5 linked regions of the Kluyveromyces lactis genome follow. The protein of the gene in region 4 purifies or fractionates together with the protein of the main gene of each other region. This does not show direct contact. Links are inferred from orthologs where the notes say so. Each region holds a gene or a part of one and is shown on either strand. Other genes may lie near its edges.

Evidence for each region.
Region 1: the proteins of SMX2 (region 4) and SNU71 purify together in Saccharomyces cerevisiae (affinity purification with mass spectrometry, with the first as the bait; 3 studies listed by BioGRID). This does not show direct contact. The link is inferred for Kluyveromyces lactis from reciprocal best matches to the Saccharomyces cerevisiae genes SMX2 and SNU71.
Region 2: the proteins of SMX2 (region 4) and MUD1 purify together in Saccharomyces cerevisiae (affinity purification with mass spectrometry; 4 studies listed by BioGRID). This does not show direct contact. The link is inferred for Kluyveromyces lactis from reciprocal best matches to the Saccharomyces cerevisiae genes SMX2 and MUD1.
Region 3: the proteins of SMX2 (region 4) and BRR2 purify together in Saccharomyces cerevisiae (affinity purification with mass spectrometry; 5 studies listed by BioGRID, with this or other methods). This does not show direct contact. The link is inferred for Kluyveromyces lactis from reciprocal best matches to the Saccharomyces cerevisiae genes SMX2 and BRR2.
Region 5: the proteins of SMX2 (region 4) and PRP3 purify together in Saccharomyces cerevisiae (affinity purification with mass spectrometry, with the first as the bait; 3 studies listed by BioGRID). This does not show direct contact. The link is inferred for Kluyveromyces lactis from reciprocal best matches to the Saccharomyces cerevisiae genes SMX2 and PRP3.

Annotation. Positions count from the first base shown.
Region 1 is NC_006039.1:1,597,738-1,604,696, forward strand, and holds SNU71 (Snu71p), read right to left. Parts: upstream 3,938-6,959; coding exon 2,231-3,937; downstream 1-2,230. Other genes in the region: MSB2 (Msb2p), read right to left, coding at 1-1,309; MCY1 (putative cysteine synthase), read right to left, coding at 4,092-5,246; nicotinamide-nucleotide adenylyltransferase NMA2, read right to left, coding at 5,471-6,820. UniProt on the Saccharomyces cerevisiae protein: Component of the U1 snRNP particle, which recognizes and binds the 5'-splice site of pre-mRNA. Together with other non-snRNP factors, U1 snRNP forms the spliceosomal commitment complex, that targets pre-mRNA to the splicing pathway.
Region 2 is NC_006038.1:783,870-790,019, forward strand, and holds MUD1 (Mud1p), read right to left. Parts: upstream 3,171-6,150; coding exon 2,253-3,170; downstream 1-2,252. Other genes in the region: GRS1 (glycine--tRNA ligase), read left to right, coding at 1-1,126; CBP6 (Cbp6p), read left to right, coding at 1,539-2,009; TEF2 (translation elongation factor EF-1 alpha), read right to left, coding at 3,628-5,004. UniProt on the Saccharomyces cerevisiae protein: Involved in nuclear mRNA splicing. The principal role of the U1A is to help fold or maintain U1 RNA in an active configuration. It is the first snRNP to interact with pre-mRNA.
Region 3 is NC_006039.1:1,581,276-1,588,497, reverse strand, and holds the start of BRR2 (ATP-dependent RNA helicase BRR2), read left to right. Parts: upstream 1-2,296; coding exon 2,297-7,222. Other genes in the region: RAD24 (Rad24p), read right to left, coding at 1-1,934.
Region 4 is NC_006040.1:656,996-662,243, reverse strand, and holds SMX2 (mRNA splicing protein SMX2), read right to left. Parts: upstream 2,108-5,248; coding exon 2,084-2,107; intron 2,006-2,083; coding exon 1,808-2,005; downstream 1-1,807. Other genes in the region: KLLA0_D07744g (ammonium transporter), read left to right, coding at 1-78; EMA19 (Ema19p), read left to right, coding at 589-1,101; GNA1 (glucosamine 6-phosphate N-acetyltransferase), read left to right, coding at 1,117-1,683; MDJ1 (Mdj1p), read right to left, coding at 2,650-4,065. UniProt on the Saccharomyces cerevisiae protein: Plays a role in pre-mRNA splicing as a core component of the spliceosomal U1, U2, U4 and U5 small nuclear ribonucleoproteins (snRNPs), the building blocks of the spliceosome.
Region 5 is NC_006041.1:824,789-831,343, reverse strand, and holds PRP3 (U4/U6-U5 snRNP complex subunit PRP3), read right to left. Parts: upstream 3,101-6,555; coding exon 1,826-3,100; downstream 1-1,825. Other genes in the region: protein-arginine N-methyltransferase SFM1, read left to right, coding at 1-38; MCO10 (Mco10p), read right to left, coding at 231-458; HSP10 (Hsp10p), read left to right, coding at 1,181-1,498; TMA17 (Tma17p), read left to right, coding at 3,827-4,309; RRT6 (Rrt6p), read left to right, coding at 5,038-5,811; exosome non-catalytic core subunit RRP42, read left to right, coding at 6,206-6,555.

The sequences.
Region 1 (6,959 bases), on a different chromosome or scaffold from region 4:
AAGTCGATAAAGTTTCAATTGGCAATGATGATGTTTCCTCCGTGAGGATAGTACTGGTTGAAGGCTCTGGAATAGATTCTGAGGTACTGCTTTCTGGTAGAGGTTCCAAACTAGTAGTGCTTAATGGAATTTCAGTGGTAGTTGGTTCCACGATGTCGGCACTTGTAGTAGAAGGAGTTGGTTCTTCCGTAGTGGTAGGAATTTCGGTCGATTCTGTAGTGGAGAGAGAAATTCTTGTTGATTCATCAGTGGTGGTAATAGGAACTTCTGTTGATTCTGTAGTGGAGAAATCATTATCAGTGGACTCAGTAGTGGATATAGGAACTTCTGTTGATTTTGAGGTAGGGAAGTAAATTCCAGTTGATTCATCAGTAGTCGAAGAAACATCTGTGGACCGCGAAGTGGGGAATTGAATACCAGTGGATTCATCGGTAGTTGATGATGGGATAGATTCGTCAGATGCTGTAGAAGAAGTAACAGGAGGGAAAGTGAAAGTTGTAACGAAATATCCACCATCACTTGAGGACGTTTCATCAGAAGTGGAATATTCAGTTGAAGAAGTAACAGGAGGGAAAGTGAAAGTTGTAACGAAATATCCACCATCACTTGAGGACGTTTCATCAGAAGTAATTTGTTCAGTTGAAGAAGGCTCAATTGATGATGTTACAACAGAAAAAGTGGATGGTTCAGTAGAAGAGGATTCCACGGACGAGAGGACTGATGAAGAAGAAACCTGAGAAGCAGAATCGGTGATGTAGGAAGCTGTATCACTACTGCTTTCAGCAGAACCTGTTTCAGTAACAGTTGTCGTAACAAAAGAATCTTCAGCTGAAGAAGTCCCAAAAGAGGTAGTCTCAGAAGAAAGAGCGGAGGAACCGGATAGAGTAGTTACACTAGCAGAATCGCTTGCAGTGCTCGAGGAGGAAGCCGAGTATTCAGAAGATGGGATACCATTTCCACTGGTAGAACGTGAGATCGCAGAAGAGGTGATCGATGAAGGAGTCAACACAGAAGTGGTACCTGAAGTACTACTCGAATCATCATCGCCATTACCATTTCTCGTACGACTCTTAGAGTGCGTGCTTGAAGAAAGCGAGAACGTGGATGGTTCTGCCACTGTCAATGAATCGTAATTCAAAGTAGTTTTCCAACTGCTCTCAGTGCTGGAACTGGTCTCGGTACTCTGAATGGATCTAGTAGAGTTATCAGAACGAGAAGTCTGGAAAAAATCCAGGAATCCTTGGGCAGATACTAAAAAGTTGCCCAAGAATATAACGGTTAACAAAAACCTTAAATTGGAAAATTGCATCGTGTTAAGCGAATGAAATCAAATGAAAAAAGAATGTAAAATAGTTGGAAAAGTAATCAAAGTTTTGCCGAAGGCCTTAGTTCAAACCTGAGATTCTCAAAGTTTTCTAATGACAAACCGGCAATCCGTAATAATAAGTAATAATTTTATATCACCAAACAATGGGACGGGGAAAAAAAAAACAGAGATCGATAGTACACTTCAACCTGCCTGAAGCTCTTGTCACGTTCAAAGTATAAGCTCACTAAACAAACGATGGCAGTTTCCTAAAGACTGAGGATTGGAAGGTAATTTGGATCAGTAGGTCAGTTCTGATAATCTTTCTTTATTAAAAACCTCTAATAGATCCTTCTTATCAAATGTATAAAAAACTTATAAGTAATTTGAGATGAATCAATAAATGAATGAATGGAGGAACACAAAGAAAAGAAAGATGTATACACCAAAATATTACCACTGGTAACGTTCTTTGTTGAAAAGTTTGACCCTGACGATAAATCTCGAATCTAAAAACTTATTATCTTTTGCCTAAAGCAACCCGAACGAAAACAGAAACTAAATTCCACCATTATCAGGTGTGTACATAAGTTACAAGTAATAGAATCTCTATGTTTGTTCCTTTGTTTATCTCATCCTGCCAATTCTTCCTGTAACCGTTCTGGATCTGGTAAAAAATTGGTGAAGTTGAGAATGTATCGCTATATACGATATACAAAACGCGAATCAATATGAAACACGATTACCCGGACCTCTAGTAACCTCATGTTACCGCCCGATCTGGCTGGAACACTCGAATCGGGCGAAAAAATTTCGTGACAGTCACGTGAGACGTAACCGGGTAATAGAATCTCATTATTAGACATGTGACACACATACCTACATATACATATATATGTATATTCACATGTATGGTATATTCCACTACTGTTCCATCGCTTCCCATATACGGCTCACTAGGACAGGGCTATCTTCGTCGAACGTCTCTGTAAGCTCAGTCTCGAGTGCCTGTTTCGATTGATGTTCTTCGATGTTTTCAAAGATATATGAGACTAAGTCGGGCTCGTAAACTCCCAAGTATTCTTTGACGAGTTCTTCCACTACGCCGCTTTCCCTTAGTAGATTCAACTTCTGTTGGAACGCATCGGTTTCAGGAGTCTCTTCCTCTTCTATCTCATTCTTTGTCTTTCCAATGGATTTCTTTAGTGCTAATTTAATCTTTGGTGCAGCCGTTGTCGCATCTGCGTCCGATACCAATTTTGTCTCTGTCTCTGTCTCTGGCTCTAGCTCTAGCTCTAGTTCTGTCTCTGGCTCTGTTTCTGTTGCTTTTTTCTTTGGTACTTCTTCAGATTCCCGTTTACGGTCCTCTTCATCTGCCTTGGATTCAGATTCCTTGTATGGCCTGTGATGGTCGTGGTAAGGATCCATGGCAAGATGTAATAACTCTTTTAACATAGGACCTTTGTTCTTTTGTAAATGCGTTTCGTAGTTTTGTAACCTTTGGTATTCTTGTCGTAGCGATGAGTATTGGACCAGTAACGAATCTTGGAAACTATGAACCATGGATTCATACTGGGCTTCTTGCGCATCTCTTTCCGCTTGAACTCTTTTTTTTTCCGCTTCGTAATCGTCCGCATCTTCATCATCGTAACCCTCAACCTCGTCGTCTGAATCTTCAGAGTCACTTTCAGCTTCAGGGGCTGAACCTTTTTCCGAGCCTCCATTAGTAACCTTGATACGGTCAAATATATGCTTCAAGTTTTGTTTCCTCCGTTTTTCTTCCTCCGCTAGCTCTTTATTCCGTTTCTCTTTCTCTAACGTAATGACACGAGTTCTAAACTCAACAATATCCTTACACAATTGGTCTAATGAGGAACTCGGAAGGTCACTCAACGTACTTATATCCACGTTATACTCAACGGCACTATTTCCAGCCAACCCTTTCTCCTGAGATATAGAGCCTGGTTCAGATCTCAACATTGTAATTAATGCGGAGAACTCATCTTTTGCAGTTTCATCGAGTTCCTTAGCAGGAGAACCTTCCGTCAGATCGCAAACGAACCGTCTAGTGTTTTCATCCATGTGAAGTCCGATCCCATCTGACCCGTTGTCAAACAATTTCTCAAGTAACTGTATCGCTTTCCCATATTCTTCCACTATACTTTCCTGGAAACTTATATATACCGTCAACGTATTCACACAATCGACGTAACTCCATTGTTTGATAAATTTGGTCTCATTATCTTCAACTTGCAGCTTTTTCCGTATTAGATTGTCTAGTCTGTCCATAACTTTATCAATACCCTTGGATCCAAGTCCCAGTGGAAAATGTGCTAAACAAACGGTATGCAACTGTTGTTCTAACGAAATTGGTAAAAAGGACTTCAAATCAACATAGCGTGAAGTTGAAGTCTTGAATTCATCAGAATTGTCCGTTTCATTAGTCTTCGAGGCTACTGAATTCCCTTTATCATGGTCTCTATGGCTGTTGGCTTGTTTCAACGACTGTTCAAATTTGGGGATATCACTCTTCAAAATCGGCACATATCCTGGCTTCGGCACCTGTGATTGCCAGTTCTTCGTGTCTCCACAGCAGTATAATGTGGGCGACACAAACAATACAGTATCCATTAGTGAGTTAAACACGTTCGGCCTAGTAGTATCAGCGTTTATTTGCTAACTCATCGCTGAAACTTTACGTCTACTCTCTCGATATATATATTTCAAGATTTTTCCAATTAATTGATATTTACAAAAGACCAAAGTTAAACACACTGTACGTTATTTATATGATATCTGAAATTGAAAGATCGTTACTCACCTGCAGGGCCTCTTTCCAGAACTTGCTTAAATGTCTAGAGCCACTGTCACATGCAATGATGCAAACATTTGAACCCTTCGGTAAGTTTTCCGCATATTTCAGCACTGCGACTGCATTGATTGCAGTACTGGCACCAACGAATAATCCGTCATTTACACATAAGAATTTGGCCATCTTAATAGCTTCCTCGTCTGTAATTCTGATGGAATCATCTATATAATTTTCCGCTTTCAGAAAGTTGTTTGTAATTCTGTTAAGACCAATTCCTTCCACTAATGTGTCCACTTGATGTCTTCTTCTTGTTCCTTCTTTCTCTACGTTATCGTACATGACACCGTATTTGATTCTATTGTAGAAACCCGAGCCTTGCGGATCAGCCAACACAATATGTACTTTGTCACCTCTTTTCTCCTTTAGATAACGAGAAACACCGGCCATGGTACCACCAGTACCGCATCCCGTGATGAATGCATCCACTTCCCCATTTAATTGTAGATAAATTTCAGGTCCTGTCGTTTCGTAATGGCATTTCCAATTGGCCTCGTTCTCGAATTGATCTGCAAATACACCAACACCCTCAGTGTACTCTTCTGAACACGACTTAGCTGCATTTACGTATTGGTTCGGATCCACTATACTAGCAGGTTTTACCTTGTTCACTATTGCACCAAGTGCAGTTAAAAGAGAAAGTTTCTCTTGGCTTGTATCGTCCGGTAGCGAGATATGGCATGAGTAACCCAACGCGTTACAACATATTGCAAGGGATATACCTGTAGATCCGCTTGTTCCTTCAAAGATTCTATTTTTCTTATCACTTGAACCCTTAATACCTTCCTGCGATGAGATGGTTTTGATAATATTCAAGGCAACTCTGTCCTTTGCGCTACCACCTGGATTATTTAACTCCATTTTGGCAAAAACGTTCAAACCAGTATAATCGGAAAGAGATTTAATTCTTACCATTGGTGTATTTCCTATCAAGTCTTCCACTCCATCCTTTGGTGGTGATAGAGCAGTTAATGTAGTTGTCTTAACCTTATATGCATAGTATAACGATGCAACAGCCACGAAAAGGGATGTTACACAGGCATAATCCTTCCATCTGTCTGCAGCAGTCATCGTTACGGAGCTAGATCAAAGGATAACAGCATGCGCAACTTTCGCTAGACGACAAATACTATTGTTGATTAAGAACTTCTATTATAAAAAGGATTTCAACTAACTAAAAACTGTTACAATTTGTGTGTATATTATCTTCGAGTTAAAGACATCACGTGAGTCTGACCAGGGAGGAGTCTAGAAAGGAGAAGGAGAATATGTGATTAGAACAATTAGTGTCACACTCAATCCTTGTTACCGATAACTTGTTTCACTGGTTCAGTTTGGTTTACGTACAAGCCATGCTCTTGAATATATCTGATGACAGAATTTGGCAGTAAATACTGAACCGACATTCTCCGTCGGATGAATAACCTTACCTTGGTGGAAGAGATATCATTATAGATCAACTGTTTAATGACAAGGATATTCCTTCTGTGTTCGTACATGATATCGTGAGACAACAAGAACGAACGAACATCTGAACCTGTTCTTTCCACGATGAGACAGCCGTAATTACCCAAAATATGATGTAAATCATAATCTGCCCAGACGTTAGGTTCGCCCATGGATTCTATCAAATCACCACCGGCAAGAAGCATGATCTTAACACCCATTCTTTCTCCGGCGTCATTTTTGATGACACCTTTCCGTTTCACATTAATTTCTTCGTTGAAATGGTCCAACACCATTGCCGTTCTAGTGTAAGTTGGTTGTAACGATTCCCAAGCATCAACCATGAGCCATGAAGAAGTTCTTTCACAGCCCAATTCACACATACGCACTCTATGGTGAGCTGGTGCCAATCCCGGTTTCTTATAGTTGTCACTTACGGGACTGTAGTACCCACCGATGACTTCAAATCTGGTCTGTTCAGAAATTGCATCCAATGCCATCTCAAACATTCTCAAATGAAGGTACGTGATTGGAGAGAACGATCCACAAGCAACAATGACCAAGGGCAATTTATTTGAGTTTCTTAACCTTTGTTTCAGTCTATGAGCCGGGAATTGATAATCCTTCCAGTTGTTGGCCTGACGCACAATCCCATGAGGCACTTCTTCCAAATCAGCGATTTGGAACTTGTGAATTCTCGAAGTAATCTCTTGGTCGAGGGATGCAGCAGCTGCAGCAGCTGCTGCCATCCCAGATGGACCAGAGACCGAACCGGATGCATGAGCCACTGGAGCCGAAGCCATAACTTCATCCGATTCTGGATTTGGATCTATATCCAAATCTACGTTCGCCGGTTCTGCAGGAGATTCAGATTCAGATTCAGAATCACCACTCGTTTCAGCTGACACCGGCTGTAGTTCCCTCTGTTTCAACGGGATGAACCCATTGTTCGAATTTGCTGACAGATGCTGCTGTTCGTTGGAATCGTCACTGGTAGAAGTCATCGAAGAAGCCAATTTCCGTTTAATGGCATTTTTCTTATACTTACGAGGACGAATCGGTTTATCTATAGCTGTATTGTAATCAGCTAGCACATATGGGATAATAGGACCGATTTTTGGAATATCGGTGCTTGATTGAAGTGCCTCACTGTCTAGTTCCTGAGGGGACTTGAAATTGGGATCCCTGGTAGGGTCCATGATGAAGCTTGCAGAGCGATGAGCGAGGAAGCGCGAGGACCGAAATTACCCAGTGGAAACACCGTTCACTGTTGTAGATAGTTTCTTGAAACTAGTTTTGTCACTTGTTTGTCACCGGTTCTCGAAGAGTTAATATTGA
Region 2 (6,150 bases), on a different chromosome or scaffold from region 4:
GTCTCACAAGCGTTTTCAAGACATCAAGGACATCAAGTTGAAGTTTTTGCCTCGTGAAGTCCAACAATCTGGTTCCACTGTGCCACTAGAGAAAACCGTTGGTGAAGCCGTTGCCACTAAGTTAGTCGATAACGAAACCTTGGGTTACTTCATTGCCAGAATTTACCAATTCTTGATCAAGATTGGTGTTGACCCAGAAAGATTAAGATTCAGACAACACATGGCCAATGAAATGGCTCACTACGCTGCTGACTGTTGGGATGCTGAATTGCAAACCTCTTATGGTTGGATTGAGTGTGTTGGTTGTGCCGACAGATCCGCTTACGATTTGACTGTTCACTCCAACAAGACAAAGGAAAAGTTGGTTGTTAGAGAAGCTTTGGAAACCCCAATTGAAGTTACCAAATGGGAAGCCACCTTGGTCAAGAAGTTGTTCGGTCCTAAATTCAGAAAAGATGCTCCAAAAGTGGAAGCCCGTTTACTAGCATTTTCACAAGAAGAATTAGAATCCTACTCTGCTCAATTGAAGAAAGATGGTAAGATCACTTTGAAGGTTGAAGGTATGGAAGGTGACGTTGAAGTTGATGACAAGATGGTTTCTATTGAAAAGGTCACCAACACCGAACATATCAGAGAATTCGTACCAAACGTCATCGAACCATCTTTCGGTATCGGACGTATCATCTATTCCATCTTCGAACACTCCTTCTGGAGCAGACCAGAAGACACTGCCAGAGCCGTGTTATCATTCCCTCCACTAGTTGCTCCAACCAAGGTTCTATTGGTTCCTCTATTGAACAACCCAGAATTATCGAAGATTACTGCCCAAGTTTCACAAATCTTGAGAAAGGAACAAATCCCATTCAAGGTTGACGAATCTGGTGTCTCTATCGGTAAGAGATATGCCCGTAACGATGAATTAGGTACTCCATTCGGTGTCACCATTGATTTTGATTCCGTCACTGATGGTTCCATCACTTTGAGAGAAAGAGACTCTACCAAACAAGTCAGAGGTTCCGTCGCGGACGTCATCAAGGCTATCCGTGAAATCACTTATCAAGGTGTTTCATGGGAAGAAGGTACCAAGGACTTGGCCCCATTCAACTCTCAAGCTGAATCAGAATAAACGTTTACATAAATATCGGCTCCTCTTCTGCTTCAATTCCGTTCGAAGAGGATGAATGAAATGTAAATAATCCCCGCTTAAATATTAATAAAGTATTTCACGTTAAATATTAAATCTGGTACTATTCCAATAATGTGTAACAAAGCAAAACTACAGAGAAGGCACTCCAGGTAGCATGCAAATTACCTGTCGCTAGAAGCGAAGTCTACTTGAACCTCTGAGATCTTTCTTTTTTTTAATTTCATCCTCTGACTTAGAGCATCAAGAAAAAACGAAAATTTTGGATTGAATCGATATAATGACAAGAAAGTTGGTTTGCATATCTGACGGTAGATACGGTTGTGTCATGCCAGCAAAGACTCTATCTAAACTAGCGAGTTACAATCCATATTAGCACAGATACAAAACAAAGATGTCGCAAGCAACAAAAGAAAGTGCTAAGCAATTAGTGAAGCTGTTAGAGAAGTTCCCTAAGGAGCGTGTTAAGCATCTCATTTCATTCAAAGAGTCACAACTAGATAGGTTCCGTCCAGTTGCCGGAATAGAAACCGGTAGTGCCTCTGAGCAAAGTAAGCCTTCTCTTGCAGAGATTAAGGATATTATCAACAGAACTTCTGGCCCATTAGGTTTGAAGAAAGATCTATTAAAGAAAGTTCAAGAGGCTTTACCAGAAGAACATTTCAACGATACTCAAATCCAAGAACAGATAAGATCGTTGAATGCTATAATGAGCGATAAATATAAGAATTATTATGCTGTAGGGGACAAATTATACAAGCCAGCAGGTAACCCAATTTATTACAAAAGATTGCATGACGAAATCGAAGGTAAGGGTAAGGAAACTTTCTTTACAGCTATGAGAACTGTCGTATTTGGTAAGTAATTTCGGTTTCAGGGTTTTAGAGCTTCGTATGCATATATGTATATATCATTTCTGTCTTTTTCGTTTCTAGTGTATCTGTACTGTACAGGCCTCCATACACTGACTGTAAATAATTTATATTCAATCTATTCTATTTATTCTGTTTATCTGTTGCTGATAAATGTACTATTAAAGCGTAGATTGTTGGTTCCAGTTCCGACCTGTGAACGCTTTGAATTTATTGATTCGCATTGAAATGTAGAATCATTTCTTGGCGTATCCAATCTTTATCGTTACATTCTTGAATGGATGATCATGACCTAAGGTTTCAACAACTTTAGTGGCATTTGCTGTAGAATCATATTCAACAAAGCAAAGATTTCTGACACTGACCAATCTAACCTCTTTAAATCCATCTGAGACAAATAACTTTTCCAATTCTTGCTGAGTAACATCTTTTGGAAGATTTTGAACCAATAGGACATGGTGAGGGGGATTTCCGACAATGTCAAAGACTTTTTTAGTGGAGGAAACTTTCTCCGACTGCTGTGACATAGCAGTCTTGTTGGTACCTTCAGGATTTGTTTTTCTGGGCTTTGAAAGAAGCTTCTGTATGGTTTCTTCGTCCAAATCCTTCTTTCTAAGCTTACTTCTAGCTCTTCTTAACCTTCTTTTCAACACTTCGTTTTTTGTCTTGGTCTTGGGCTGTGAATTATCCACAGCTTTACGTGTACGTAACCGAAGTTCATCCTGTAGCTGTTTCTGTTGTCCCTGGTAGTACAAAGCTGCGAAAGAATCCGTATTCGCCAGCTTTATATTTATCTTTCTCCCATTAATCTTGAGCTTGCCTTGAAATTCTATAAGGAACGTATTACAACTGTCTGAGTCCTTAAAAGTGACGAAACAAGACCTCCTCAAGGGTCTTGAGCCATACCTTGATACCTCTATGATCTGATACTTTTCATCGAGTACTGGTGTAACCGCATCAGCCTCACTAGTTTCTTTCTTCGAGTTCAGATCGAATCTTGTACTAACATCATTTGAAATAGAACGATGATCTGAATTAACACTTGATAGTAGTAAGGCTCTGAATTTGGACAATGAGTCGGGCCTCGACGGTAGATTCGACAGATATAAGGTACTGACCATTGCTTGCCGATAGATACTAGCTTTGTATGGCATGTGTAATAACCTAATAGAGAAGGATATCACAACCTATTAACAAATAGTCCATACGTATTAGTATTAGTAAATTTGTTGACAATGAAAGTTGTTGTTACGTTAAGTTAAGATTATATGAATAACTAAATACTAAATAGAAATGTAAATACAGTGAGAACAAAACAAAAAAAAACGAACAGAGAAACTAAATCCACATTAATTGAGAGTTCTATCTATTAGAAAATGCAAACTCCAACTAAATGGGAAAACAGATAACCTCTTTTATTTTTTTTTAATGTTTGATATTCGAGTCTTTTTCTTTTGTTAGGTTTATATTCATCATTTCAATGAATAAAAGAAGCTTCTTATTTTGGTTGCAAAGAATGAAAAAAAAGGATTTTTTCATACTTCTAAAGCTTCAATTATAACCAAAAATTTTATAAATGAAGAGAAAAAATCTAGTAGTATCAAGTTAAACTTATTTCTTACCAGCCTTGACAGCGGCCTTGGTGACCTTACCGGCCTTGTCAGTCTTGTCAACGGACTTGATAACACCGACAGCGACGGTTTGTCTCATGTCTCTGACAGCGAATCTACCTAGAGGTGGGTAGTCAGAGAAGGCTTCAACACACATTGGCTTAGATGGAACGAACTTAACCAAAGCAGCATCACCGGACTTCAAGAACTTTGGAGAGTCTTCCAACTTCTTACCGGATCTTCTGTCGTTCTTTTCCAACAATTCGTCGAACTTACAAGCAATGTGAGCAGTGTGACAATCCAAAACTGGAGAGTAACCAGCAGAGATTTGACCTGGATGGTTCAAGACGATAACAGTGGCGTTGAAAGAAGCAGCAGCCTTTGGTGGATCGTTCTTGGAGTCACCACAGACGTTACCTCTTCTGATTTCCTTAACGGAAACGTTCTTGACGTTGAAACCGACGTTGTCACCTGGTAGACCTTCTTCCAATTGTTCGTGGTGCATTTCGACGGACTTAACTTCAGTAGTAACACCGGCTGGGGCGAAGGTAACAATCATACCTGGCTTGATAACACCGGTTTCGACTCTACCGACTGGCACAGTTCCGATACCACCAATCTTGTAGACATCTTGCAATGGCAATCTCAATGGCTTGTCAGTTGGTCTGGATGGTGGTTCGATAGCGTCAATAGCTTCCAACAAGGTCTTACCCTTGACGACACCGGACTTGGTTTCCTTTTCCCAACCCTTGTACCATGAAGCATTGGTGGTGGCTTCAATCATGTTGTCACCGTTCCAACCAGAGATTGGGACGAATGGAACAGTCTTTGGGTTGTAACCGACCTTCTTGATGAAGTTAGAGGTTTCCTTGACAATTTCTTGGAAACGAGATTCATCCCACTTAACGGAATCCATCTTGTTAACAGCAACAATCAATTGTCTAACACCCAAGGTGAAAGCCAACAAAGCGTGTTCTCTGGTTTGACCATCCTTGGAGATACCGGCTTCGAATTCACCGACACCACCAGCAATAATCAAGATAGCACAGTCAGCTTGAGAAGTACCAGTAATCATGTTCTTGATGAAATCTCTGTGACCTGGAGCATCGATAACGGTAACTTGGTACTTTGGAGTTTCGAACTTCCACAAAGCGATATCGATGGTGATACCTCTTTCTCTTTCAGCCTTTAACTTGTCCAAAACCCAAGCGTACTTGAAAGAACCCTTACCCAATTCAGCGGCTTCCTTTTCGAACTTTTCAATGGTTCTCTTGTCAATACCACCACACTTGTAGATCAAATGACCGGTAGTGGTAGACTTACCAGAATCGACGTGACCAATAACGACAACGTTAACGTGAGACTTTTCCTTACCCATTTTTAATGTTACTTCTCTTGCAGTTAGGGAACTATAATGTAACTCAAAATAAGATTAAACAAACTAAAATAAAAAGAAGTTATACAGAAAAACCCATATAAACCAGTACTAATCCATAATAATAATACACAAAAAAACTATCAAATAAAACCAGAAAACAGATTGAATAGAAAAATTTTTTCGATCTCCTTTTATATTCAAAATTCGATATATGAAAAAGGGAACTCTCAGAAAATCACCAAATCAATTTAATTAGATTTTTCTTTTCCTTCTAGCGTTGGAAAGAAAAATTTTTCTTTTTTTTTTTAGAAATGAAAAATTTTTGCCGTAGGAATCACCGTATAAACCCTGTATAAACGCTACTCTGTTCACCTGTGTAGGCTATGATTGACCCAGTGTTCATTGTTATTGCGAGAGAGCGGGAGAAAAGAACCGATACAAGAGATCCATGCTGGTATAGTTGTCTGTCCAACACTTTGATGAACTTGTAGGACGATGATGTGTATTTAGACGAGTACGTGTGTGACTATTAAGTAGTTATGATAGAGAGGTTTGTACGGTGTGTTCTGTGTAATTCGATTGAGAAAATGGTTATGAATCGAGAATACTACGCCGTCTTGTGGGAGTGTTCCTCCTGCCCGTTGACGTTTTAGGCTGGGCTAGTGGCCTAATGAAGCTAGGTTCTGCCAAACCTTGACAGCGGGGGGGAGGCCCCCCATGGGGGGCCTCCCCTTCTCTCCTCTTGCTTGCCTATGGCTATAATCTCGAGGCCAGCCTGGCTTCTGTCTAAAATTGATGTCGAGGCTTTATTACCTGAAAGAGTAAAATCGACTCTGAGGGTTAGGGCTGCTTTTGTGCGGCTGTTTCTGCACTGTTTCACCTAGTCAAGTCATGGTCATATACGTATCTTGCACTATATCATTTCTTTTTGGGGGGTAATTGCTTTGGGCTTGCGGGTCTTTGGCACCATTTATGAGAAGGCATTTGCTTGGACAGGCTCCTTTCCCCTGTTCCAGTGGGAGCTTTCTTTGGACTGCTTAGTGGGACTCTCTCTAAAAGCGAGACTGAGGCCATTCACATCCACTCCACCAGTAGCATAGCGAAACCAGAGACGCCCTGCATACACTTCTAGCACTGAATGTAGTT
Region 3 (7,222 bases), on a different chromosome or scaffold from region 4:
ATATCAGAATCAGATAGAGGAACGTCTTCATTAATTGAGTTCTGAGTGCCATTGAACTTCGTTTGTTTTGGCCTTTGGGACAAAATTTCGTAAAGTTCAGAGTCACCCTCTTCTACTTCCAGACCGATAGCTGGCTCGCTGTCTGAATCCACTATCGGATCATCTTTGAAATCATGGTTATCTGGTAAAGTAGAGGGGTCCTCGTCTAGGAGCGACTGCTTCTGCAAAGATTTCAGTTTTTCCAAGTTCCGTTCATTGGTTAATGCTAAATTTTCGCTCTTAGAATCATCTAAACTAGTCGTTAATTCAGAAGTTGCATGCATCATCCTCATTTCACCACCAACTCTTTCCAAGATGTCAAGATCGTCTATCGTCAATAATCTCCTATACTTAGACATATAATCATTATATTGTTCTGTGGTAGGTTTCAACGAATCAATATAATATTTCAAAGACTTCGCCTTAAATGATAGGAATTTACGTATTTCAGGACCAAAATAACTCCCATAAAGAACCGCGTCTTTGGTGGACCACAAGGAGTGGTATTTGTAAAATTCAACAGCAATGAAATCCTGCAATTGAAATTGAAACCTCTTTTGTTCCTGAACCATCTTATACTCTCTTGGAAAGTTTGCTTGACCATGTACGCTGTGATTGGAACTTTTCACATCGCTAGAAATATTTCTAACTTTCCCAAGACAATAATACAGAGGTTCTTCTTCTAGAGGTCGTAGTGTGTCCGTTATACTCAATGTGTCCACAACATCTGCAGCATAGTGCAGCGGGAACTGTGATTTGTTTAATTTAGAGAAATTCTCCAGGATACCCAATTTGAACGTGTCATTGGCAATTGTTCCGCCGTCAACAAGCTCATTTATCATATACCTATCATTTTCATTATCCTTCGATCCATATATTACCTTACCAATACCATGGAAATAACTTGTTGAACTTTCTCTCGTGAAAATACTATTAGTTTCATCAAAGCTAGAAGTGCACCAGAATTGTAATGCCGCGATGCCAGATCGAATATCACCTGTACTAGATGCAAGGTTCTTAATGAAAGTGCCACTTCTTTGGTATTTCTCTGAGGGGATTTCTCTTCTAACTTTCTGTATTATCTGCTTTAAATGCTTCGTCATTAATGTTGCATTGATGGGATTAAACTTAATTCGATGCAACAACGGGTGCATCAAGATATCTTTGCCCAAGATTGTTTCTGAAATGAAGGTAGAATCTATTCCAAATGATGAATTAGTAGAATTCGAGTCCAGTAGTTGACATTCAGTAAGACAAATCACCAGTGGTGGTAGACGATCAGAAGCAAAGAGCCACGAGAGAATACTCTCCCTGAACCTTTTCAACGTTGACTCGTGGAAAACATTCGGCAGATCTTCGACAAGAAGTACTGACAAATTCCTACCGATTAAGTACTTAGATTGAAGCAAAAAATCATCAAACGACTCAGATGGTGAAACGCTACTCATATCTGTAAGATATTCTGTAAAATTCGGAACTTCCCTTCCACTCACTGTGAGTCCTGACGTAGCTCTATAACGAGGCACTATCTCATCGCTTATAAGCTTAACACAAGTACTTTTAGAACAACCTGCAGGCCCACTTAACAGAAGAATCCGTTCATCTGATTTCCCTGAGACCATACCCTCTAAATAATACCGTACTTCCTCTATCTTCTTCTTATGCAATGCGATGTCATCAACTCTCTTCGGACTAAATTTGTCATACCATTGCAGCTCACTTGGCAACGTCCGTTCTCCACTAGGTCGTGTCAAATCCACATGATCCAAATTCGTGTAAGGAAAGGAAGGAACCGACGTAGATGATCGTTTCACCTTCTTATCCTTTCTTGGGGATGCTCTGCTTATCCTATCGCTGATTTCACTGATAGATCGTTTCAAACTAGGAGTTGACATGCTATAACATCATTAAAATTCCTCAATTTATGACGAAAATAAATGTAATGTCGTTTAGTTCAATTCTGCAAAACGGCCGAGCTCCGTCTTGGCGAGCTATTCGGTATATAATTTGGTATTAAGAGTAGTTTACCTCTCTTCAATCTGTATTCTCTTATATTGAGTGCTAATCTCTGACTGTGGAAATATCTAGCTTACCCGCACATTGAAATTAAGCATTCCATTTGATATTTGCTAGTCGAATATGAATTATATGAATGGAATAACATCGTATAGCTTAGATGTGGTATCTAAAATGCACATAGAGCGAGTTGAAATCAAGCAATAGTCAGTACTGATAAGGTACATACTTAGACAGAGAGATGACCGAAGATGCTAAAGAAAGAAAGCAGAAAATCAAAGAGATTTACCGTTATGATGAAATGTCAAATCAGGTACTACGCGCTGATAGAAGTTTGATAGAGAACAGGACGGATGTGCATCGTGATGCGGAAATATCACAGCCGAAGTCTATGTCTGGTAGAATCAGGCTTACTGAAATGGGATCTGCCGTTAAGGAGAACGGATTAGAAGATAACGAGCGTGCTACAGCAGAGAAAGAATTCGAAAAGCGTATGAAAAGCTCATCGCCTCAGCAGACGAATAGCTCAAGGCTGGACAGAACCACGGTACTTGACGATATAACGTCTTTGAACTACATACCGACTGATGATAGAAATACTGAGATATACGATGAGATAACTACATGGTGTTCTGAGATACTCGGTGATGATATACCGCATTCCATTATAGTAGACGCAACAGATTTGATAATAGTAACTTTGAAGCAGGATGAAAGTGTAGACCTAGAGAGCAAGAAAAAGACTATTGAAGTAGCTTTGGATACTGAATTAGACAACGCTTCATTCAACTCACTTGTAAAGCTCGTGAAAAGTATCTCTGATTACTACGCAGAATCCGCCGATACCGGTAGAACAGTAAATGTAGCGATAAATCCCAATGAAGATGATGACGAAGCAGAAGAAGAAGAGGAACCAAATGCTCTACTAGAAGCTGTAGATGACGTGGCAGGGGAAGAGGCCGATGAAGAAGCGGGTTATAATGAAAAAACAGACAATAGTAATGATAATTTTTCTGTACGAAGTGACATAATGAATAATTCAGAATCTTTGCAAATACAGAGTGCAGCTGTCATGGAAGAAATAATAGATATCAAAGATATTGATGGATTTTATCTTCAGAGGAAGATCAGGAAACAACTGAAAAATATTGAAGAGACAAAGGTTCAGGAAATGGCCAATAACGTATACGACCTGCTCGCAAACGACATCTCTGAAGAGGAACTGACCCAAAATCTCCACGATATTTTCGGACCTGATGCGAAACAATTGATTAGGCTAATAGTCTCAAATAGGGAGACATTGTACTGGGGTCACAACTTACAGAGGTCTGCGAACGAGAACATTGACGAAATTCTAGGGGAAATGGCACAAAGAAATTTATCACACTTGGTAGAAGCATATAAGGCGAAACCTGATTCTGCTAAAAGAAAGTTGAATTCAGAGCCAGAAGTTGGAACCAAAAAACAAAAAATAGAAGCTGAAGATGAACCCAAAGTAATTGCCCTCGATGACCTTAAATTATCGCAGAATACCAAGTTTTTGTCAGACGTGAAAATTTCGTTACCTGAAAACTCATTCAAAAGAGTCAAAGATAGCTATGAAGAAATTCACGTTCCCCCGCCCAAGAAGGTTGATGACAATTTCCCGCTTGTACAGATCGAGAGCCTACCGAAATGGGCTCGCAGTGCTTTCCCTACGTCTGAAACGACTTCACTAAACAGAATTCAATCTGAGGTCTACCCCACTGCTTTCAATACAGACGCTAATGTATTACTATGTGCCCCCACAGGTGCTGGTAAAACTAACGTAGCAATGTTGACTGTACTAAGAGCAATGTCCCATTACTATCGGGAAGAGAGAAATGCCTTCGATTTGAAAAAATTTAAAGTGGTTTATATCGCACCGCTCAAGGCATTGGTACAAGAACAAGTCAGAGAATTTCAAAGAAGGTTACATCATTTTGGAGTGAAGGTAGCAGAGCTTACAGGTGATTCCAACTTATCTAAGCAGCAAATCGAAGAAACCCAACTCTTAGTAGCAACTCCGGAAAAATGGGATGTAATCACAAGAAAATCAACAGACACTAGCTTTCACAAACTCGTACGTTTGATCATCATAGATGAGGTCCATTTATTACATGATGAAAGAGGTCCGGTCATTGAATCAATAGTAGCAAGGGTTCTACGGGACACAACGGCAGAAATTCCTACGAGGCTTGTTGCACTTTCTGCCACTTTACCAAACTACATTGACGTGGCCAAGTTCCTTCATGTTCCTGATAATGGCTTATTTTATTTTGATTCAACTTTCAGGCCATGTCCTTTAGCACAACAGTATTGTGGCATCACTGAGAAAAATGCTTTAAAGAAGAAGAATGCCATGAACCAGGCATGCTATGATAAATTATTGGAGGCCGCAAAAGAAGGACACCAAGTTATCATTTTCGTTCATTCGAGAAAGGATACTGCTAGAACTGCTAGGTGGCTTATTCAAAAACTTATAAATGAAGATAAAATAAGTGCGTTCCAAGGTACCGATAAAGGTTCCTTGGAAATCCTCAAGACAGAATCCAGTAATGCTACTGATAGATCGCTCTCCGACCTTATACCTTATGGATTCGGTATCCATCATGCAGGCCTTACAAAGGATGATAGATCTTTATCCGAAGACCTTTTTGCTGATGGTTTGCTAAAAGTTCTTGTTTCCACAGCAACTTTAGCATGGGGTGTTAACCTTCCTGCCCACACTGTCATAATTAAAGGTACAGAAATGTATTCACCGGAGAAAAGTGATTGGGTCATGCTTCCCCCACAAGATATCCTTCAAATGTTAGGAAGAGCTGGTAGGCCGAGATACGACGTAAATGGTGAAGGGATCATTATTACAAACCAATCAGACGTACGTTATTATCTCGCTGTGTTGAACCAACAACTCCCTATAGAATCTCAAATGATTTCAAAAGTTGTTGATAATCTTAATGCTGAAATAGTTCTAGGTAACGTCACCTCACTAGATGAAGCAGTTAACTGGTTGGGTTATTCCTATTTATCAGTACGGATGAAGCAATCACCTCATTTATACAACTTGCAAGGTTCTTCAGGAGACATGAGTGATGCTGAGCTCATAAGAGTCAACAGAAATATTGTGCATACGGCGTTGAATTTATTACAGAATAACGGTCTTGTAAACTATGACTCTCTTTCTAAGTCGGTACAACCAACTGAGCTAGGTAGAATATCCTCTCATTTCTACATAAGTTATTCGTCAATTGCAAAATACAACCGGGAGTTAACAATAAACAGCACTTTGATCGACATTCTGAGAATATTTGCTATGTCAGAAGAGTTTAAGAACATTACCGTAAGACAAGAAGAGAAAACTGAATTAGAGAAACTCGTCGAGCGTTGTCCAATTCCGATCAAGGAGAAGGCTACTGATTCATTAGCCAAGGCAAACATTCTACTTCAGGTGTACATTTCAAAATTACGATTGGAGGGGTTCGCTTTAAATGCGGATATGATTTACATTTCTCAGAGCGCAGGTAGACTTTTCAGAGCACTCTTCGAAATGTGCTTAAGAAAAGGATGGCCAAGACTAACCAAGCTTCTGCTTACCATCTGTAAATGCGTCGATAGCAGAATGTGGCCCACGAACTCACCATTTAGGCAATTCAAGAGATGCCCTCAAGAAATCATAAGACGAGCAGAAGCGTCTGGTTTACCCTGGAACGATTTCTTACTGTTGAAGAATGCTCATGAGGTAGGCGAAGCCTTAAGATCTCCAAAAAATGGTAAAGTTGCTTTCGATTTGCTTCAAAGATTCCCGAAGATTGGCATTCACTGCGCAATGCAGCCAGTTACAAATTCACTACTTCGTTTTGAGTTGGAACTCCAACCTACATGGATCTGGGATCTGGATTCCAGCAGCTATTCTGAAACATTCCTTGTTCTTGTCGAAGACACAGACGGTGAACAAACAATTTATCATGAGACATTGCATGTTGGGAGAAATGCAATAAACAGCATTGTGTATCTTGACTTTGTTGTATTTTTGAAGCAGAAAATGTTACCGCCGAACTATTTTGTATCCGTTATATCAGAAAAATGGCTAAACTGTGAGTACAAGATTCCTGTTATTTTGAGTGAAATAAAATTACCTAAACCATTCCCTCCTGCAATATCTGTTTCTGATTCAATTAAGAAAAGTACCAAGGAACTACAAATTGATGAATTTGAGGCGTTATACAATTTCCATTCTTTCAATAAAGTTCAAACTGAAGTTTTCGATACATTATACCATGAAACTGAAAACGCACTAATATGTGCAACAAAAGGTTCCGGTAAAACAATAATGGCAGAACTTTCATTATTGAACCATTGGAGAGAAGGCAGAGGACGTGCGATTTACATTTGTCCATTCAAAACCAAGATAACTGAACTTCTAAAGAATTGGAAAAAGCGATTCTCACATTTGGCTGGTGGAAAACTGATCAATGCTTTTTCTGGAAATTTGCAGCACGATCAAAAACAATTAGCCCAATCTCATCTAATATTAGCTACTCCGAATGAATTTGAATACCTGTCTCGTCGCTGGCCGGAAAGAAAAAACATTCAAAGAATAGAACTAATTATTTGTGATGACATCCATGAAATAGGCAACGAGATAATTGGACCGATGTATGAAATCATAATTACGAGAATGATTTTCATTGCAACACAATTGGAGAAGAATATAAGGATTGTGGGGCTTGGAACCCCACTTGCCAACGCAAAGGATTTCGGAGAATGGTTAGGTGCAAAAAAATCAAGTATTTTCAATTTTACTGCTTTAGAAAGGCAAACACCCTTGACAGTCGATATCGAAACTAGCATTTTAGTAAAAAGCCCTACTTCTAATCGAATGGCCCTAACTGAGATCGTTGAAAGTAGTAATCGTGTCGCCTCACCCGATGAAACTATAACAGTTTTCGTCACTGACAGATATGAATGCGTTTCTTTCGCGACAGAACTCGTTGGTCTCGCTGTTGCTAAAGGCATTGATCTTCTTAGAGCAGAGGAATCCAGTTTACACTCGTATCTCAACAAGGTCCAGGACAGCAACCTCAAGACACTGTTGCAAAGTGGTATAGGAATTCTATACCAAGGTATGCATTATTCCGATAGGAAT
Region 4 (5,248 bases):
GATGACAAGATTCACACAGGAAACAACTCTTCATCAGAACTACAATCTGAACCAAAAACTACTTCCGCTAATGCCTAAACTTTATTAATGTAATAATTTTGGTTTTGCAAATTTCAGAAACTGCAATTACACGAAATGTTCTTTTATTATCTGCTTTCAGCTGCTAATTGTAACCGTTAACCCTGATTTTACTGGTGAATCATTCTAAACTTCATTTATTCATTTCAAGCTAACACCAGTTCACACCAAAGTTTGGAAAGGAGATCTACTTCTAGCCGTCTTATGTGTTCAGTAATATCTAGTTCCTAATATGACACTTATGTACCACAATAATTAATAACGAATCTCTCATAAATCCCTTTGTTGTATAGCCATTCACGACCTTTGTATCAGGTTTGGCGTTCGTCTAGTTGCTGCTATGAGATTCCCTCCAAATCCGGGTAATATAAACAAGTAAGACGTTAAATTCAGCATCTGATAGAATAATCGATATAACTTGAGTAAAATCCTCATCGGTTTGAGTAGTGTTACCGACTCTAACCAGCGCTTCAAGAGACCAAGGTATATAAAGGGTAACTAAGGTCTAATATGAGTAAAGAGCAACGTGATTCGAGAAAGACTCAACTATGGAAGATCAATCTATGGAAGATCTGGTATGCAGTTAACATTCCAATCATTACGTTTTTGGATTCGAATGCAGTACTTCCTCCATATCTTCAATATACTAAGGGACTTCTAGATGGTTATATTGATAATTTCAATGATTTTCTAACTGCCAATCCTCCAAACTGGCTCAAATATATGACAATCATTGAAATTTTATTCCAACTGCCTGTGGCCATATATTGCTTATACCAGCTGCTAAACTTGTCAAAGTCAAAAACTATCAAAAGAACTTTATTCACAGTGGACCGTCTATCTAAATGCTATGCATTCAATGTCATCACCACCACTAGTTTTTGTATATGGTACGTTTGGGCCTATGGGTACTATCCAGCCACGATGAATACCGATCACGTGTCATTGAGTAACCCGGACAAACTGGCGCTAACGATGGTCTACGTTCCTTATGTTCTAATTCCAGCATTATTCTTTGTATAGGCACAATGATTAAATATGAACCATGATAAAAGAACCTTTATAGTCTCTTTGTTACATCAACAATTGATATTACCATTCATTTCTACCATCATCCTGCCGTTAATTGGAATTCTTACCATGTCATTACCAGAAGGATACACAATTAGAAGAACCAAGAAAGATGATTTTTCTGGGGTTACATCTGTGCTGAAAGTGCTAACGATGGTTGGTGATGTGAGCCAAGATCAATTCCATTCACTAATAGACCATTGGGATTCAGTCACGATAGGAGATATACCTATGTACAATAGCACTGTGATCGTTGACACAAATGGGGAAGTTGTCGCCACAGGAAACGTGCTAGTCGAGAAAAAAGTTATTCACGAATGTGGGCTTGTTGGTCATATTGAAGACATTGCAGTGAGAAAAGATCAACAGGGGAAGAAATTGGGATTGATATTAATTCAGTATTTATACAAATTAGCTAACGAGTATGGATGCTATAAAGTTATTCTTGATTGTGATGAAAGTAATGTTGGATTCTATGAGAAATGTGGATTGAAAAAAGCTGGTGTCGAAATGCAAATCAGATTCGACAAATGATGTTGTAACCAGTGTGCGCTCTATCATATCTATCCTTCCTTTCTACTAGCATAATTCATTGTACGTAAATGTCACTAAGTAAAGTGTTCCGACACATTGAGTTGTATTTGTCTCCCTTCTGCTCTTACAAACTGTCAAGAGGTTCTATCGATACAATGGAGTTACCTCTAACAACAGTCTGGGGTCCCATTTGGACCTCTCCTTCTTCGAAAATCTGTATTGGATTATCCAGTACTAAGTTCAAAAATGCATCATATCCTCGTAATATTCCAATAATTTTCCTATTGCCGTTAAGCTGTAGAATGAGTTTCTTGTCCATGTACTGTTTGCAACGAATCATATTATAGTTAGTAATTTAAATTCTGATAAGATTTTTCCTGGAAAACAGGGGTAAACATACTTTTCTCAAATCTGGAGATGTCATGGAATATTGGATGGTTTATAATGGGTCGTACGGAAGTGATAAGTCGTAGATATAGTCTCTTAACTCTTGGCAAAAGTCCTTCGAAATTTATCTTCAGTATATTTCAATTGATGAATTTTGTACATAATTATGCTTTTTCCATTCAAAAGTAATTTTCAATGTCACAATGTTAAGAAGACAACGATGGTCAGAATAAGTTACTAAAGCATATCGACCCTTACTGAAAACATTCGTTGTCATTGGCATGAATTTCAATCCCGAGCTAAATATGGTAAGTAGGGATAACTAGTAAGAGAATATCAAAACGATAAGTATTATGCGCTAAGTGCAATTATATATATATATAGGGAAATTGGTATTTACATGATGTTAAAGGGTTTTATAAAATAATGTGCAGTATATGCAATTACTGGCTATGACTGCTGTAAGTGGTACATGAATAATGAGAATGCCAATGTCGTAATTAGTTCATCCAATCAAAGAATTATGAAAGAATGAAGGTGGAATGTATGACGGGAGAGCATATATGCGATTTAAGGATTTCATTCCCCTCTGATCTTCTTTAAAGTGTTAGACAAGAAATTTTCCAATTTCTTGATGGTTCCTTCATTGTTTTCAACTGTGTCTTTATCAGCAGAGGAAGAGTTGTCCTTAGCCGACGATCCAGAGGGAGTAATGGTCCTTCTTGCAGTGGTATCATTGGTCAAGTGGGCCAAGGTCTCCCATAGATAACGTTCTGTTTCATCCTTTGGTTTTTTGATAACAATCTTGAACTTGACAAGCATGTCACCCCTGTCACCTCTAGCTCCACGAGGGACACCCTTATTTGGAATTCTGATGACTTGATCGTGTTGAGTACCAGAGCTGACCTTCAATCTGATCTTTTCTTCCTCTACGGTGGGTACTTCAATGACGCCACCTAGTGCTGCCGTTGTAATTGGGATTTCCTGAGTGTAAATGATGTCGTAATTATTTGAAACTTGGAATCTTGTGTCTTTCCTGACTCTGACACGAATCAACAAATCGCCTCTGGTTAAATGCAATTCAGATTTCATGGACGGATCGATAGCCATACCGGGGTAACTACCTTGGTTAGGTACTCTAATTGTGTCACCGTCCTGAAGTCCGTGAGGTAAGTCTACGGTGATAGTTTTATTTGAATTCAATTTGAAACCGTGGCTATGACAGGTACCACATTTATCGCTGTCCTTAATAGTTGAACCCTCACCATCACATGTTTGACAAGTAGAGGCCATTTGGAAACCTGCTCTTACATGTACCTGAGTACCTGTACCATGACATGTAGGACAAACACTTCTCGAATGTCCAGCTTTCAACCCACTTCCATCACATGACGAACACGGATCGTAGCATTGGTAATTCAATTTGACATTCTTCACACCGAAGACGGCATCTTTGAAGGATACTTGGAATGGTACAGTGACATTCTCACCTTTATATTCACGGACAAAATCGGAACCGCCAAATCCTGCTCCATGCGAACCAGCTCTCCTGCCTCCGGCACCACCACCACCACCACCACCAAACGCACTTCCGAAAAGATCTTCAAAGTTCAATCCACCGAAATCGAACCCTCCAAAGCCTCCGAATCCTTGTGCACCACCAGCACCAGCACCGCCATAGGCACCGCCTGGTCCACCGGCACCACCAGCTTGGCTGAATGCAGCAGCACCGAATTGATCATACTGTTTCCTCTTATCTTCATCGCTTAATATTTCATACGCGTTTTGCAAATCATGGAACTTCTTCTGAGAGTCTTCTTCCTTATTTATATCCGGATGATACTTCTTGGCCAGCTTGTAGTACGCTTTCTTAATGTCGGACTGACTGGAGTTCTTGTTAATCCCAAGGACCTTATAAGGATCCTTAAACTCTTGTCTTAGAAGTCTTGCCGTATGGAATTGACGTGGGTATTGTAATAAATATCTCTTAAACATATGGATATGGGGAAATGAGTTTTTTCTGTAACTCCCTAGTACGTATTTGATCCTATTAAATCTCGCCTTGTCCGAATTCTCTCTAAATGCGACTGGCAGCGTACTTTTTTCAAACAAAGCTAATGATTAGAGCCACCGTAAGTCGAATAGGGTTGATCAATGTGGAACGCTAGCTTGTATATTTATATCAAAGAAGAGACATGACTGATTTCAATGTTATAAAAACTTTGAAGCTTCCTTTCTAGAGAAACCTCTGCTTGACATGTTCAGGCTGAAAGAAAAAATGGAATTTGATAGAAGCTACGATGAAATGCCGATAGTGCGGGTAACGCGTTATGCGAAGAGAACCCGAAGCTTTAAGAGAAAAATCGATCACGTGATTGTTAGAAAACACGTGACTTACTATTATTGTCAACCGTCCTGTCGGTGTATTCAAGATGGGATTATGTGGAGAAGGAATTGACACTTGCAAGCAGCCCACGACAGATATAAATCCTTTCTAAAAAGATATTGGAATGTCACATTACCTCGGTTCACCGCAATGCGCGCTTTGATGCTCAAAATATTTTCAAAGTTTTGCAGCCTCCTCATCCTTCAAGACGGACTTCCATCTTGTTCGGATTTGATAATGTCATCTGCATGCAAATGAGATCGCGAAATGTATAGAAAGGCTGATGATAAATGAATTGCGTCGTATGATTGATATAATTATCATACCCTCTGAAACTTGTCATCAATTCACCAGGGTGGAATGAACTGATCTACTATTGTTGGAAGAGAGAGACAGTGATGATCTGTCGAGGAGCTTTTTTCGATCTAATTTTAACCTCAGCGGAACAATGGGGCGAGTAATGGCTGGTGAAAAAGCAAGACTACTTAGCACCAATAAACTCAGAAACCTTCCTTGTGGTTCTTTGTTGATCGAAGATACGAGGATGCGACGAGCAACGAAGTCAGGCCGTATTAGTGTGTTTTCGAAGGTACATCATTCATTACGTATACAATTGCTCCAGATTAGTTAATCAAGGTTTCTCGAAATCGAAAAACACCCTTGCTATTACCTAATAGCAACATACCCAATTACAAAGAATTAGGAATTTACCACCTCATCCTTTTGACTCCGTACTTTGTGCCTTGTGTCTTTCACCATTTTTGCTATTGGCAATGAGGTAATGCTATTGCT
Region 5 (6,555 bases), on a different chromosome or scaffold from region 4:
AAAAAGATTCCGAGCAAAGTCTAGACGATCTATTCTGAGATAAACACAAATCAATGTAATAACTTTTAAGTATCCTATAATTATCAGATTACATGTACATATGTATATGAAAAAAAGGGAAACTGTTTTAATACTGAGACTGTGTAGGAGGTCGTGTTTCATTTTGAATATCGTTAAAAAATCGTCATCTATAGAAGGGGGGTAGTTCAAATACCTGATCTTTATTGAATTTATTTGGATTCTTCCTTCAAGAAATCACCCAACAACTTTTCAACGTCAAATTCGTCGGAACCACCAGCAGCTGGAGCAGCTGGAGTAGCAACAGCTGGCTTGGCCTTTTCAGCATCCTTAGAACCAGACATGGCGTAAGCTGCACCACCGAAAACAGAGCCCAAGGTAGCTATGGCTAAAATATGTGGTTGAACAGTCATACCGAAAATCTTGTAAGCAGCACCCATTATTAATATGTATGAAATTGTAGTGTTTGGTACAGTTTTTATGATTGAAATGGAATCAGCCCTAACCGGTGTTGAAGGGTTAAAAAAATTCACATAAACCAAGTATAACACTTGCTAACCTTGGAACGAAATCCTTTAATTCTTAAAAGCTCATTCGAGGAAGGTCAGTGTCTTTATGCGAAAAGAGTGAAATTCTGCGACATCTTCTGTGTGATCCCTTCGAATTTCACCTCGAAAACTTGGGCCAAAAGACGTTCGGAGTGATTAAATTTCATGAAAAAAAATTGTAAGTCACGTGGACAACATTTTATTTTCCTTTCCTCCCTTACTGCCCCCTTCCGGCAACATAAGGCCCTATGAATTGTGACTTCAACATGCTGTGAACCACCATTGTTTAAGCTCTATATATTGTTTTGACAACTCCAAAGCGGCGCCCACTACCAGCTAGTCATTTAGCCCGCATCATTGCCATGTTCAGTAGTTTGTAGTTTACTGTCCACATGGAATTTTCTAGCATCACCGAAAACGGGAACCTTTCTGACATGAAAGTTGAAATTTATAAAAGGCTATAAAGCTTACACACTTTACAAAATGAAGGATTCGACATTTTTTCAACAATAGAGTGCCAAGATTATATCAAAGTCAGCGTTTGTACAAGATCCTTGATCCTCCTCGATTGATATTCTTCCCCTAAGAAGTAATCACTATAATAATAGGTCAAAATGTCCACTCTATTGAAGTCTGCTAAATCTATTGTTCCATTGTTGGACCGTGTTCTGGTGCAAAGAATCAAGGCCGAAGCCAAGACTGCTTCTGGTTTATACTTGCCAGAAAAGAACGTTGAGAAATTAAACCAAGCTACTGTGTTGGCTGCTGGTCCAGGTTTCACCGATTCCAACGGTAACAAGATTACACCATCTGTCCAACCAGGTGACCAAGTTTTGATCCCACAATTCGGTGGATCCACAATCAAGTTGGGCAAGGATGATGAAGTCGTTTTATTCAGAGACTCTGAAATCTTGGCCAAGGTCGTCGAATAAAGGTCTCGAACGTTACACCAGAATTAAATTTAAAGAACGATGTTATGAGCCAGTATCTTTCTCTGTTATTGATGATTGAATTTTGAGAGACGAAGGGAGATATTATTTATATAAATATGACTTTTTTTTGATGTTGGTAGTGATAAAACTCAATAATGTTGACCATTGTGCGTCACTTGGACTGCCTACTCACCCCATGTAAATAAATGTTCTAAGTAGGTCGTTGGATTTACTCCGGTTTTATTTTTTTTAACATACACTATTACTTTTATTCCAAAATTTTGATGATTTCGAACTTGGATTTCATTTTCAGTACGTAATTGTTTGTTAAAACTTACCTAATGGTACAAAAGTCAATGCATCGTGCTGCTCTAAGATATTATTTAACTGGTTTTTATCTTTACAATCGAGCATGAACCAGCCCTTGAATCTACAATCACCAATTAATCCTTGCCAAACCTTTGTAATTTTACCGTCGCAAGGTACTGTCTCTTCGGTATCTCTATCTTTGTATGGTTCCGACCAATTGATTCGCTTTGTCACCAACTTATCGAAAAAGCGGATAGATTTTTCATCTCCAAAAGCTACAATTATACCTTTGCCATTTTGAATGTGTAGACAGCATCCTTTCAACTTCAATTGCTTACCGTTGGTTTTGATTTTGTATCTGATACTAGGATTCTGTATTTCGTCAAACATGTAAACAACACACGTGTATTCTAGAGGACTATCATTGCTGTGTGCTTGTAACTGGGATTCCTTCCTTCGTTTCAGGCTTTCTTGATGCCTTATTTCATTTTCTTCGAAATGTTTCCTTTTCCTCTCTGCCACTTGTCTCCGTACGATGGATTCCCATTGAGTTGGATCCGCAATATTGGCATCATTCTCATACACATTCATCATATTCGATAATTTAACCTTGGGCTCTGGTTTTGGTTCTATACCAAGCTTGATTTTCTCCTCCTTCTCCTGTCGTACCAACTTCCTCGTATTCCTTCTGGCCTTTTTCCGTTCGTTTTTCGTTAAGAAAATCTCTGCCACTGGAACAGCTGCCCTAGGCCTTTCAATCGGTACCGGATGTTGAATATACCTAATACTTGGGAATTTATCTTGTGCACCTTCCTCTTCCTCTTCCTCTTCATCATCACTTTCATCGTCCGAATTCAATGTGGAATAATCCAAACTATATTTCTCATGGATGCTACCATCTTTGATATATGGAACATCCCACCATTCCACATCAGGAACGTCCGATAAATCGGTAAAATAAACTTCTTCATGCTTATCAGGTAGTTCCCCTATTTCTATTTTCCGTTCGATTTCCTGCTGTTTCTCCAGTTCAGCTTCCCATCGTATTCTTTCTTCTTCAGACTTTTCACGGTTCTCTTGTCTTAATTTTGCAGCATGCTGGACAACCTCTCCCGGTTCATACCAATGAGACGATACTCTTGCCTTTGGCTCAAAACCATGAGCCTGTACGTCTTGCAAGTATGGGTTTCCACAACGTCTACCTTGAAATCTCAATAAATTGACATTCTCAACACTCAATGCAGAATGCAATTTCCGATTTAACCCTCTATTAGTATTATTATCATTGCCCATTATATGATGATATGATTTTTGTACAAAGGGCCGATTATTCCAGACAATCCGTAGTTACTATTACACATCACCATTTGTCTTTTGTCCATCTCTTCTCTAGCATCGCAATGAACTCTCTCTCATATAGAATCTGAATCACATCTTCACTCTGTAACGCCTATGATGAAATTCACCATGCCCGGGTAATATATCCGAAATTGCACCAACCCCTGATTGTGCGTAGTGTATGGGTGGAAGCCAAAACAGCACAATTTTTCTGTTTTATGGGATGAAAAGAATTACATAAGCGGCCCCTAATTCTCGTTGTTTTTGTGTTCCTCGTGAGTTTCTCAACTCTTTGCTGAAAGGGACAAAGTTCAGTTCCCAGAGAAGGACTTAGGCGGGGAAATCCAGCCCAGGAGAAAGGAAAGCAGAAAAGCTGATGTGATTTTTAACAAGTAGTGTTGCTTTGGAGCTGGAAAAAGTCAGCATAGTAACGTGCGCATCATACACTCTGATTTGCAATGATGGTGCCTCGGAGGGGTGGGTGTCATATGTGGGGCGTGATATCTTACCGTTGGGTATAAATAGTAAGAGAATAAACTCTGGCTTAAATTATTGTTATAAAAGGCTAGCTTGAATATATAGTTAAGGATACCGATCTTAATTCATCTCGTACTTTCCAACCGAAACAAGACTAAAAAGTGAAAAAACATACATAGCTAAGGATAGACTTAACATAGAAATATGGCACATTCTTCTGGTATTCGTAGACCAATTCAGATTCAAGAGTTCGTGATTGCTATTAGAGAATCGTCTGAGCATGAATTACAAGAGATCAGAAAAGAGATCAATAATGCAGTGAAGCATTTACAAAGATCTAACAGAAGGTTAGAAGCGTACGTTGCCAAGCTTAAGGGTGAAGAGGTATTGAACAGACAAGAATTGGACGCGGAAGGGAATTTTTCCGATGATGATATTGATGAGAAGGATTTGCAAGTATTCCAAGACTCATTAGCGGAAAATGGAAAAGTATTGGATAATTATAACGAAAGGCTACAAGCTTTGGACCTAGAAGAACAGCACAGGGCTAGCACTGTATCTTCCGGTGACATCCAATCGGCGTCCACAAAATTAAAAAGATCTTTGCAATCTCAAGGCCGGAGAACCGTTGGCGTGGATTCAGATAATACTGCTGATGCCACTGGTTCCAATAGCATTAACTTATGAACCCATTCCAAACAAAATATATATAATGTACTCATATATTGAAGTATAGTAAAAAAAAAATGAATGAAAGCAAAAATGCATGTTTAAAAGTGTGGGCTGGTATGACCTCGGAAAACTGTATACTTTCAGAGATGAATAAACGCACCCGTTCTGGTTTCTTTCTCTTAGTTTCGGGCTGGTAATCTGCTGGGAAAAACCCTGGAATGAATCTGCTACAGACCATTCTTAACATTTAGCTTTTTCTGTTTCCAGCAGGCTGGGCCGTTCTCTGTGGCATTCATTTTCTTCCATCTGTAAACGTCGATGCGAAAAAAGTCTATCAGGTTCACGTTAACATTTCATTTCATTTTGATATGATCGACATATATACTGTGCCATGGCATGAAAATGTTAAGAACACTTTTGGAGAAAAACATACAGAGAGTCGTTTTGACAGCAATTATTCGGTTGGAAAAGTGGGAACTGCCTGGGTTAATGATTGGTCTCCATCTATAAAGCATCAGGTTCAATTCAAATCGAAACAATTCTTTTTTTCCCTTTAAGGTTGTTTCTCAGTGCTTCATACGTGTTGTCAATATCTTTTTGTGTTCTTATTCGGCCAGACAAAATTTTTTTTTTGGGTCTAATCCACAGCTTTCGCTTCAGTAATTAGATTGTGGTCTTTTCGTTTGTTATTATACCCAGTTCATTTCGTTCCAGCTAGTAATTTTTTTGTTCTTTTTGTTTAAATGGTGATATCGTTGATATATGTCCTTTTACTGATATGTTCAGTTGTCTCGGAGACCCTTAAACTGCCGATAAACCCAAATCGATTAGAATTCGATTTGTGGCCATATAAAAAATGGGAAGTTGACGGCTCGAGTGACGCGTCTAGTTATCAAACTTGTTTCGAAATGAATACGAATATTAAGGCCAAGGATTTACAATTCCTCATTGAAATTGAAGAATTTACTAAATGGAAAGTTAATGTGGATAGGTTTGGTCCAACTACGAGTTCAAAGGGAAAACAGGTTGTCAACATGGATATTTATGACGAAGACCAAAATTTGGTACAGTCAAGACATGGTTTAGAGAATGGGGAAACTGTGCTTTACGTGAGCGTATACGAACATCAGAATTTCCAAATATGCCTTATCAACTTTTCATTAGACTCCTCATGGAATGCCATAGATAGTGTGAAGCAAGTAGCAATTAGCATCACGTCTAATGATCTGATTCAGAAACAGAAGTGGGATTTGATTACTGATGATGATCTCAATTTGTTATCCCAGGGTAGAGATGACCTGTTTTCGTTGGTCAGTGCGGATTCTGGCCAGGAATTGCATGCTTTAGATGTCGATCATAGAAATCTCAACGAATCAACGTTCTCTTATCTACTGGCAAAAGTCACAATATTATTCTGCATCATTGGAGTATGTCATTTGCTGGTATTTCCAATCTTACTGTATAGAATCGTTAGCAAAGGGCAACCGACCAAGAACAAAAATAAAATCAAAAGATAAGGAATAATTATGTCCATAAAACAGTTGATGTATTTGTATATATATTAAACATCAGCACCCTGTATCAGTACAACTTCAATATCAGTCAGTCAGCATTCATCGTATGTTAGTACTTCGAACCGTGACTGACACCTGACAGAACATCTCACTAATGGCCAATTATATCCGGGTAACACCGAATATTAATGTGCATTAGCGAAAAGAAGAAATGAAAAATCTGAACTAATTTCAGTATTGACTTATATGAGCTTGAGATGAGATGCAATGAGATGATGAGAAAAGGCTTATTTCCCTTCTATCAACAGCAATAGAAACATCTGAGTTTAAAGCGAGTTATCTTCTCACGAAGCAGACCCATCTCGTTAAAAAAAAAATCAAATAATATAAGAAGATAATGGGACTTTCGTTAACTGAAAAATCGTTCCTATACGATTCTCTAACATTAGATCCCCCATTAAGACCGGATGGAAGAGGTCCACATCAATTTAGACCATTGGAAGTATCTACTGATTTCCTTCCCAATTCTAATGGATCCAGCCGTGTGATATTAAGCGGAGGAAGCGAGTGTATAGTGAGTGTAAAAACTAAAGTCGTGGACCATACGGTAGAACAAGAATTGCTTGTTGCTGATGTCGACATCCAAGGCCACAGAGATGACTCTCCATTGGTTACCAGCATGTCTTCACTATTATCCAAATTGCTCAAACAAACTATTGATCAGAAAAAGCTAATGCTCACGAAAAG